3 linked regions of the Xenopus tropicalis genome follow. The protein of the gene in region 1 purifies or fractionates together with the protein of each later gene. This does not show direct contact. Links are inferred from orthologs where the notes say so. Each region holds a gene or a part of one and is shown in the gene's direction. Other genes may lie near its edges.

Region 1 (3,757 bases):
GGAGACAGACAGAAGAGGTACGTACCTAGTGCCCCCCCCCCCCCCCCCCATAGCCCATTGGCACACGCCTCTTCTGCCTACCCCCAGTTTGGCCCATGCTCTTCATTGCAAAGCAACTTTTGTTTTTTTTACAGTACATTTAGAAAGATGATAAACAAGTGGAAAAAGTCTTGGAAGGACTGCTGCTGAGGTCAACAAAACACCAACATTAGTTTAATACCAAACCATTGGAACTTCTGTCACCTAAACTGCACTAGTCTGACTGCACTAGAATATCATATAGCAGGCTGACATGCTTTCTCCACCCATGAAATATAAATAAAAGGACAGACTATCCATTTAATACACCAACTTTTTTAGTGTTTCAACAGTATACCAATAGGTAGACCAATTAACTGAGGTTAAAATGACAAAGGAGTATATAGGGTTGGTATTTGGGAAAGTATAGGCATAGCATGGCTCCCTGACTTTTATATATTTTCTCATGTTTATCTAGAAGTAGGTTAGTGAACGTCGTATTAATCGTATTATCCAAGCTCTAATTTTATATTTTTTTAAGAAAAGGTTGCAGATCTCATTATGATATTTTGAACCTGCACATGAACAGATGTCAAATGATTTTAATCATAATTGTTCAACTGTTTGATAAGTGGCTCAATCAATTGCTGGTGTACAACCACCTATACACAGCGTAACCACAAAAAAAGAGGCATTCTGCCAATAGGAATACTGAAATTACCAGGAAGAGTGACAAGACGTGTAGCGACAAAACATAAAAAAACTACATTTCCCGGCACCCATCATGTTACCGGCGATATCTGATGACGTTAGTAGAGCGCGCCCATTCCCGGCCTTGTGCTGATTTGCTGTGTAACGTCCCGAGGCCGTAATTAGAGACTCATAACTCGGGTAACCAACAGCGGCGGGAATATGGAGTATCTGATTGGCATTCAGGGCAATGACTTCGTACTTGTGGCTGCGGACACAGTGTGTGCCAACAGCATCATTAAGATGAAGCACGGTGAGTCTCACTGTATGGGCAAGACTCTGGCAGTGCCATGGAAAGCAGGGGCATTCCAAAGAGCACAGTGTGCTTTAGTCTCAAGTTTTCGTAAAACTACAAGGCCCAGATCCCCCTCGCAACTAGGATACACTATGGAAAAGCTATGGCTATTATTATTAATACAAATAACTAACACTGAGTCAGCCAGTTACAGGCTTTGTATCGGGAACAATATAAATGAGCAGCAAGCAAGCTTACTATTAGTATCTACACCCTGTACCTGTACTGAGAGATCATAACATCATCATTATATGTTTGATCAAAGTACGTGGTTCTGTTCTTATACAAAAAAAAGTCGAAACTTTATTTAAAAATCCAGATTGATGAATGTTGCAGGCTTTATGATTAATATCCATCAAATGAAAAAAAAATGATAAAAATACTGTTTGCCAATAACAAGGATTGATACTGGGTTCCTTTATATACTTTAGGTTGTTATTTTATTAGAGAAACATTTAATCAGGAAAGCGTTATATGATTTTATATAATTTAATGGTGTCATTCTGGGCAATTTCTGTTGTCAGAGCTAAAATATATCGTGAATAGCGCTGTCTCATTTTGGAACCAATTAGCTGCCATATCTTTTCGAGGGACATATTATATAAAAATAATGATGTCATACACGGCACAGCATTTGTGTCTCATATGCAGCCTGTGGTTCATACAAATATGTTGGAAGGCCACCTCCAGCCCACAGGCTTCCAGTTGGGCAGCTTCAGGTATTAGATTCTGTACCTTCTAAGAGCCAATGTTTTTAGGAAAATGGGCTGAGGTGTGTGGTAGCATATACAGGCAAAAGGGAAATAACAAAAAGGTGTTGTCTGTTATTAACAGAATGAAAATCATGGAAGAAACAGTCATGTCATTGCTTTGAATTGTTTAGAAGTGAAAGTGAAAGTAAATGCTAAAATCTATCTGTGCTTCCTGTTTTTCCCCTCACTGGATTTTTTTTCTGAAACTATTTCCATTTTTGTTTTTATTAACAAGTTTCCTCACTTCTTGGACAATGTAGGTTATTATAATGCTTAAAAACTATGATTGTTTGCAAGAATTTTTTTTTTTACCACCATCCTTTAGTGGTGCTCTTGGGCAGCCTTCAGTATGTTAGTCATACCAGAACTAATAACTCCCAGTATCCACCTCACCAGCTCTGCTGACATCTTTGTGGGTGTATTTTTAAATGGGATGTTTAAGTTTATGTATTTTTTAGTATGTTATAAGCTATGCACTTGAAGTATTTTATGTACTGTGTATAGAAATACAGAGAAGTGTGTTGAGCTTTTTAGCAGTCTTTGGGCCATAAACATCTGTTGGAGTGTGCTGTAAATAGGTGGACCTTTTTTAAACAACTTTTCTGTTTGTCTTCATTATTTGTGTTGTAAGTTTTTTTCTTTATTATCCTTCTAAGCCTGGCTTTCTCCTGCCAGCAGCTGAAAATGCTGTTTGGTTGAGGTGTCCATTGACCCCCACCAGCAACCAAAAAAAAAGGATTTTGAGGCTTTATTATTATTAATCTTCTGTTAGCTTACGAAAGGTCTCCCTAGGTTCTATAGAATTTAGCAAATGGCAGTCAGATTTAAATTTCAAATCTGTTAGTTGCAGGGAAAAACTTTGAAGAACAAGCGAAGGTATAGCCAGTGGAGGGGTGGTTTTGCTAAAATATTAGGCAACCCCAGTGATTATAATCGCTTACCTGATACCCCGGGCCAGGGAATATCTATAGATGCTCCTTATCAGCAACTTCTTCAGCTTCTTCTGTCCAAAGTACTCCAGTATTGCAGTGGCGCCCCGCACACTAATGCAGAAGCTATATATGGTGGTGCTGGTGCATACTTCTGGACCTGGACATGAGAAATCAGAAGAAGGTGATCACACTAAATAAGCGTTTACACTGTATATATCCTGACATGAACAGAATTCGCTTGTAGAACCAATGTCATTATGTTTAATGTTGTTTTATGTTACAAATGCATAAATAAAAACCTTTGAAAAAAAAATAAGCGTTTACAGAAATACTCATGGCCATTGTAGTTTTCTGCTAACAAGATCACCTGTCCGTAGTATCAAGTAAATTATTATTGTCACTGGGGAGTGCTTAACATTTGGCATCCTACAATGATTTTCAATGATTTTAACCTTACTTTTTCTTTAATAATTCACAGTCTTAGAATTCTGTCTGCACCATACCCAAATAAGTTTAACAACCCCTTTAAGAACAAATTAAATGAATAGAGGTGCTATATACCTTTAGCCACAGACCCTTCTAACTTGAATTTCCTGGTGGTCATTTACCTGGGCTGAAGTCAGGTATTTATTTTAATACAGTTATGTGACACAGCTACTTATGTTCTGTTTGTTTTGTGTAGATGTGGACAAGATGTTTAAGATGAGCGAGAAGATCCTGCTGCTGTGTGTAGGAGAGGCAGGTGACACAGTCCAGTTTGCAGAGTACATTCAAAAGAACGTGCAGTTGTACAAAATGAGGAACGGTAAGTTGCATCTAGTTACTGTCAATACTAGCATGTCTTCGTCCATTCACTCACAATCTTAAAGCATGATTATTTCAGTCAGCTTGATTACGTGCAGCATTTATCTTGAAGCTAGCCATATTCTTACCCTTTTTGTAGGTCTAGCATGAAGTAGGATTGAAGTAATTTTTAGCAATGCTGAGCTGCCTACAGTCATCATGTTTAT
Region 2 (3,757 bases), on another chromosome or scaffold:
AATGGTCCCTAAGGTGTGTAATTATGTTGCTGGGGGTTGCTGTGATATCCACAGGGGAGGAGGAGGCATATGGATTTCTGAGTGTGTCTTAATATGACATAATATAATTCTTTCATATATGAATAACTGTTGATATCCCCACAGTGAGGACCAAGCATTTTGGTTTTTGCTGCACTACCACCATTGTGATAAAATGGGTGTGGTTTGAAGTGGTAAATTTAATATATTTTTAGTGGTTTTTTATACTTAAACAACTTTTACTATTTTGTGAAGGCCTCTTTGAGCCCATATATTCACATTGTATTGTAAACTTGAATCTGTCAAAAAAAATATTGAGAAAAAAAACTGTCCAACTGACAGCTCAGTTGGGGTTATGTATGGGGGTATCATCTAACCTGGAACTGCATAGCAACCATTTCTGCATTATGTTCTGATTAGGTGGATCAATGTAATTCAGCTGTCCCCATGTATGGCCAAATTGTACTAATATCCAACATGATCATACATTATATTACCAATAACCTTGGGTGCACTGCACCCAGCTCCTATTTTACTCCATAGTAGACCATGTTTAGGCAGCAAAAAAAAATAACAGAAATAATAATCAAGGTAGTTAAACACTTTACAAAGTAATTAGAGTTATAATATATTCTTTCACTTTAGATTGCTGAGGCCATAGGTTTAAAATAAACAAGCTATTAAGTCATATCAACATCACGTTATTCACAAAATAAAATTATATCGCAATGCATCTGCCAATGTGCAGTTTATAAGCTGATGGAAATTCCCTTTTATTGCCACTAACCCCTCCCCTCTCTACTGTATAAAGCAGCAGCTAAAGTAAAACTGAAAGTAACAGAGTGATAGAGGCCCAACACAGACACAGCAAAACAGTAAGGGAAGCTGAGGCCGAGGAAGGTGAAAGACCCTCTTTAACTACAGTTATGGCTAAAGTGATTCGTCTGAAAATTTCCCAGGACAACCAGGAGAAGGTAAGTGTGTATGTCATGGTTTATATTATTAGATCTGTAAAGCTAGTACAGCAGGCCTTTTTAAGGGTACCCTGTCGATATATAAAAGCTTTTAACCTATTACTGCAAATGTGGCATATACAAAAAAACAATACGAAGGTAGTAAGAAGGAAGAAGGTTCTAAAGTTGGGTTGTGATGTCACAACTATGTGTGGGAATTTCACAGTACTGGAATTGGACTCTGAGGTTCACTTGCACTAATGTATAAATGTGTGTATATACAAAGTCACTAAAATTTTAAAAGGAGCATTTGCTTTTTTGCTTCTCATTATTTTTTAATAGAAAATTTCCTGTAACTAGGAACACTTTAGAAAAGAAGCTGCAGCACTGAGGTGCAAAACTGAAAGTGAACAAAAAAGTGGCCAATAAAAGACCTTCTATTTCTGCATAATATATATAGATATATAAAATAACATTTTTAAATATGATTTGCATTGAAAGTTGCTCTTCCTTAAAGCTGAGTGCCAAGGATCAAAAAATATAATACATACAACAAAGGTGGCCCGTACTCCAATATACATGCATCTTAAAGGAGCCGAAACATTGGTAAAAATTATGGAATATAATAAGGCGCAATGTATGGAACACGCAAACCTTTGGTTGCTAGGGTTTGCAGCCTCTGTACATTTTCTTACAATACAATTTCATTTTTAAAATGAACTACCTATTTAATATTAATGCCAAATACAATTTTATTTTTAAAAGAACCCTTGAGCCACAGTACTTGGCTGGATACAGGTGATACTTTTGTTTCCACAAATTGAAGTGTGGGCTCCATCAGCCCGCAGCTGTAGTGTAGTAGGAAACATTCTATCTTATGAGATAGTTGCCCTTAATACCAAAAATTCTCTTTACACATTGTATTACAAAAATACATTTTGTTCCACAAAGACAGCTTATTTGATTGCTGTAAAACTTGTGTTAGTAAATTACACATGCAGATAAATTGTCTTAACATTTACTCATTAAATATTTTGCTGAACCCAGAGCTAGGTAGCCTCTTGATGGCAGACCCCGGGATGCACAAAAGCCCAGAAATTAGCCAGCTTTCCTTGTTGTCGTTTCTATAAATATCTTGTAGTTGGAAACAAGCCTTGTCCTTGCTTGCACAGATTCAAAATTACTGTTGCAAAAGAATCATGTTACAACTGAACAAATAGACACATATATAGATATCTGATAGGACCTCCCACTAGTTACGTAAATAAGTTGTAATATAAAAAAAAGGTTTCTGAATATGGACCATTAGATATCATTGACCACACAAATATCGAGCAAATATGAAGATATAAAAGCATGTAATTGATTAAAAAATTTATTTTGCCTGATTTTTCTTCTGTTTCAGAGATCACATTTTTCTTTATCAGTTGCATTTTGTAAAACAATATATGAATTTAGTCAAAATGAGTCTGCTATTTGAGTAATGTGAAATAAACAATCAATCCAAGATGGTGGAAAAACTTGCAGAGTCATCAGCACAAATGAGTAAAAAGAGAAAACCTTTTCACACGATTAAGCAGAGAAAAAATATCTGCATCTCTGTAACTAGAGGTCCCTCTGCTGTCTATTTTGTAAAAATACACTTATTCATGTAGTAGGTGTGCTTATAGTTCTATACATACAGAAAATGTAAGGTTAGGTGATAGGTGCCTAACTCCTCAGTTTAAGGGTTAAGAACTGCTACAGTTCAATTACTTGTATGTGTGGAGAGTTACTAATGTTTACACACCTCTTCCCAATCTACTTCCAATCCAGAGCACTGATTTAAGCATAAGAGTGCCAATGTAACCCTTATTCTAAAACTGTAATTTAATGGTTTTGGCTACAAGTTGGCTACTGTGTTACAGAAGACTACACTATACAATAGTCAATATTTCACCCAAATCTGCCACAGTGCAAGGACCATGTGCATTTCAGAGTATTATTAAATTATGTAATAAAGTCTTTTGGGGAAGCACCATTCCTCTAGATCCTGTATACTTCACAAATCACTTCACCATCCCAAAACCTAGGCATGCCTACTTAACATATGGTGTTTGGCACAAATGTTTGTGACCATCACTGTACCAACTAATATTAAAAGCAGCAAAGAAAAAGTTGCAGTATATATTAGTCTGGGCTATGGCTCTCAGGATACACTCCCTAGATCTGAGGACATTTTTGTATGTTTACAAAAAATGTTCAAAAATCCATTCTCTTTCTTCTTACAGGTTAATGGGTTCCGTGAAGCGCTATTCAGTCAGGTAATTTTTTTTTTTTATTCTTCTTTAATATCTTGTCACTGTCAAGATAAAGTCACATCTTTCATTTAAAAGCATGTACAGAACAATATAAAAATGCTTTGTAAACTTACATAGGATTCTTGTGTGATGAATGCAGCATTGCTGCAATAGTGATCTTCTTAAAAAAAATTAGTGCACCAATATCAGCGACTTTGATCTGGTAAACCAGACAATCCCTACCTAAGTACATTCCTGCATTACAATAGAACGATATGCCAGATGGGTGAAAAAATAAATACATACATACATCATTCAACATTATTTTTTCACATTTACAATATTTCACCAATATATTAGGCAGCCCCAAGTAAATATAGTTATTTTTAGAAAAACAATGAATTGGCATGGAAAAACCAACAGAACACCTGTAGTGCTCAACCCTCACATATGTGTAGTAGATTCAATTTAGAAAACTTTACTGTGCAAGCTGAAGCCACAGATGCC
Region 3 (3,657 bases), on another chromosome or scaffold:
ATAAAGCATAATATAGAGTGTTTATCACCATCATTTTTCCTTGCAGGAAGATTATCGACGTACAGTGACAGAAATAGATGAGAAAGAATATATCAGCTTACGACTAATTATTTCAGAATTAAGAAATCAGTATGTAAGTATGCAAAAATTTTCTGCCACGTTTTGACACTTCAATATCTGTACCTGAAAGTAGAAGTTTGCCTTTAAAGGAGAAGGAAAGGCAAAGTTACTTGGGGGTGCCAAAATGTTAGGTACCCCCAAGTGACTTGAATCGCATACCTTTTACCCTGGGCTGGTGCCCCTGTTTAGAGGGAACAACACCAGCCCGGGGTAGCTGCAGCACTTCCTCCTTCCTGTATCGCGCACGCATGCGCAGTAGAGTGAAAAGCCGAACTTTAACAGAGGAGTCGGCTTTTCACTCTCCTGTGCATGCGCCTATTGTGTTAGTCGCAGCGAAAAGAAGCCGGAAGGATGAAGCGCATCGCTCCAGGTACCCCGGGCTGGTTTCTCCTAACAGGGGCACCAGCCCGGGGTACGAGGTAAGCGATTAAAGTCACTTGGGTGCTTAACATTTTAGCACCCTCAAGTGACTTAGCCTTTCCTTCTCCTTTAAAATGTTTTTGGTATATAATATAATAAAAAAAAAAAATTGGCCTGTGTCTGACCCTACCTGCTTTTTCCCAACTTGACCCAATATGCTGTCATTACTTATATAGCTGCACTCGTCATGTCTGATATCACCAAAGAGGTTAGAGCTGGAGCAAGTATATAAATATAAAACCGCAGAGGGAAGAAAGAGAAGAATTGGAGGTCAATGACATTACGGGCTGGGTGTGGTGGTCGACAGAGTCCAGCCTGTCTGTGACCGGATTAAAATTTTACAAGCACGAACCCATGTTGTTAATAAACAGATGGTCCCAATACATAGCGTTACTCAGTCAGTCGTTCATGTAGAACTGTAGTTCAAGTATAGACTGTACCAACGCACACAACCATTTGGTCAGTTCTCTACAAACAGACCATAAGGCGGTTGTTCACCTTTAAATTAACTTTTAGTACACAATAATACACTGAGACAATTTGCAATTTTTTGTTTATTGCGTTATTTAGCTTTTTGTTAAGCAGCTCTCCAGTTTGGAATTTAATCAGTTATCTGGTTGCTGGGGTCTTGTTTAACTTCACAACCGGGCAGTGGTTTAATTGTGAATTTGGATTGTGAATAGGAGGGGGGCTGAATAGAAAGATAAGTAATATTAATAAAATTGTAAAATCAGAGCAAAAGAGTTTGACCCCCCCCCCCCCCATTTAAAAGCTGAAAATATGTAGAAGCGGAAGACAAGTAATTCAAAAACTATATATAATAAATAATGAAGATCAATTGCAAAGTTACTAGGAATAGGACATTCTATAACATACTAAACATTAATGTAAAGGTGAACAACCCTTTTAGATAAAATTCTATGAGAACCGGCAACCCTCTATCTGCTTCCCCTTGGCTGACTGTCAGCCGACACACTTTCTGGGGCTTTCTGACTGAAGCGGAGCTATAGTTCATATAAGTTTTAAAACTTGTAGAAAGGTAGCTCTGTAGGCAGTGTAGTAGTCTGACTGGACCTTGGGTCCAAATTGCTGTTATTAATGCATCCTGCCAATCAGATCTGAGCTGTCTAACAAGTGTTTTTTTTTTTATACAAATTGACAGGTAACATTACATGACATGATCCTGAAAAATATTGAAAAAATCAAGAGGCCCAGAAGCAGCAATGCTGAAACACTGTATTAAATCAGTGCATCCTTGTGGAGCCTTCCTTTTTTTCCCCCTCAGTGTTTGGATTTTTTTTTTCTTATTTGAACTGATGAGAAATGCAGACCATCATTGCCTTTTTTGAACTTGTGACATTCTCTCCACCATTAATGGAAAAATGTCTGAAATTTTGCAACATTTGCCAGCTGTAATTCTATATAGAGGGATTATCTCAATGCTATCAATACGCCACATCAGTTATTGGGTTTGCTAAGAATACAACAATGTCTTGTACTATGGAGCAAGGTGCTACAGTCAATAGTGGCACTGAACCACAACTTGCTTTGACCCCTGTTACAAAAGGATGCTGCAACTGAATCTCTTATGCTTATTAATGTGTATCATATATAGTCCATAGAAAAGCCATTCAGCCTCTACGGCAAAGGCTACTTGTAGCTGTAAAAACCCTAGTAAAGTAGCTGTTTGCTACCAGATGACCAGTGATTGACCGTTGTGTAATTCATGTTATATGGCTTTCAGTTGAAGGTTGCTACCTGTCTTTTTTTCGGACATTCAGAAGCACAAATTTTTCATTTGTTTTCCCTGAAACCTTTATAATCCTATATGAATATACATCCCATGGAAGCTAAGGCATTTTAAGCCCTTTAGGGCCAAGGGACCTTGTCACTTTTTGCAACTTTTCTTGAATGTATCACAATCTTAGTGATTCTGTCCTGATCCTTAGTGAGTTCTTCTGTCACGCCAAGGTCATCTACTGTATCTTTTTGCGTATCAGGTTTACCTAATTATTAATATACTACAGGAATAACATATATTTTTTCTATCATGTTGCCTGCTTTATTGCCAGCCTCAGCCTAATGGCATATACAACATGTGTGGGGATTTCGTCATGAATCGGTTTTATCAAGACAAATCACGCCATCAGTACTCTTTGGACGGTCTTGTGGGAGATCAGCTCCAGTAGTCATGGGCTAAGTCTTTCCCATAGACCTTACTTGAATGCAAATCAAAGGTGTTTTGCTATGGCAAGTTGTGTTGGGAAAAGTCCTGAAGACACATGTCCAGTGCAGGCTTTTCACACAAGCCCCCTTAGCTGTGTATTTGGCTTCATAAAACTGCTCCTCTAAACTTTAGCGTAGGGGTATTATGTCTTATAAGTTATGGGCTACCTTAGCGCTGTCAGCTATAGGACCACAGGCTGAATGTGGCCCTCCAAATTCTTTTTATGACCAGTCTTCTCAGAGGCTTTATAGACTTCACTATATGGCATCATCATTTTAATTTAATCTGGCCCTCCAATGAGAAATAATTGGCCCTGTAGATGTAATGAGTTGGGCAGCACTGGGCTACATTTTTGTTTTACTCTCCTTTGTCTTACATTCTTACAGGGGGAATAGCGCCCAAACTGCCAAGTTGACTTATCCCTTTTTTTTAAACAGAACTTCTTAATAGTGTTAGAAATCATAGCGCTTATTTTTGCATAAAATTGTTGAATTGTATTTGTTTTTGCAATGGCAGTCTTTGTCCCTGGTTTCTGAAAGCTCTTCCAGCAAAAGTTTTAATGCCTACATATCTCAAATATTGTAATGGTAACGTGTTTTTTTCCATTGTCGCCTATAAAAATAAACCTGCACTATTGATCTGTAGCCAAGCTACAAGCTATGTAATTACATCTGTACTCTTTGGTTGTGATTCAAAGATATGGTAACCCTACAAGGATCTTCCTGTGGAAGCTGAGCTTGCACTTGTCTACAGTTGTGCTGTGAGAGGAAAATTTAGATCAAGGCAGTTACTAAACTAAATAGTAAAGTGTTACTATAAGTAGGTTAATTTCCACAAGCTGCTGTGATCTTCTGGCCCATATGTTGTGTTTCTGTAAGAAAAAAAATACC

Evidence for each region.
Region 2: the proteins of psmb2 (region 1) and psme2 purify together in Homo sapiens (affinity purification with mass spectrometry; 3 studies listed by BioGRID and IntAct, counting the BioPlex papers as one, with this or other methods). This does not show direct contact. The link is inferred for Xenopus tropicalis from reciprocal best matches to the Homo sapiens genes PSMB2 and PSME2.
Region 3: the proteins of psmb2 (region 1) and psme3 fractionate together in Homo sapiens (co-fractionation; 3 studies listed by BioGRID and IntAct, with this or other methods). This does not show direct contact. The link is inferred for Xenopus tropicalis from reciprocal best matches to the Homo sapiens genes PSMB2 and PSME3.

What each region holds. Positions count from the first base shown.
Region 1 is NC_030678.2:81,977,716-81,981,472, forward strand, and holds the start of psmb2 (proteasome subunit beta type-2), read left to right. Parts: upstream 1-855; 5' UTR 856-930; coding exon 931-1,021; intron 1,022-3,429; coding exon 3,430-3,552; intron 3,553-3,757. UniProt on the Homo sapiens protein: Non-catalytic component of the 20S core proteasome complex involved in the proteolytic degradation of most intracellular proteins. This complex plays numerous essential roles within the cell by associating with different regulatory particles.
Region 2 is NC_030677.2:139,415,235-139,418,991, forward strand, and holds the start of psme2 (proteasome activator complex subunit 2), read left to right. Parts: upstream 1-866; 5' UTR 867-944; coding exon 945-992; intron 993-3,241; coding exon 3,242-3,274; intron 3,275-3,757. UniProt on the Homo sapiens protein: Implicated in immunoproteasome assembly and required for efficient antigen processing. The PA28 activator complex enhances the generation of class I binding peptides by altering the cleavage pattern of the proteasome.
Region 3 is NC_030686.2:21,570,554-21,574,210, reverse strand, and holds part of psme3 (proteasome activator complex subunit 3), read left to right. Parts: intron 1-46; coding exon 47-133; intron 134-1,702; coding exon 1,703-1,783; 3' UTR 1,784-3,657. UniProt on the Homo sapiens protein: Subunit of the 11S REG-gamma (also called PA28-gamma) proteasome regulator, a doughnut-shaped homoheptamer which associates with the proteasome. 11S REG-gamma activates the trypsin-like catalytic subunit of the proteasome but inhibits the chymotrypsin-like and postglutamyl-preferring (PGPH) subunits.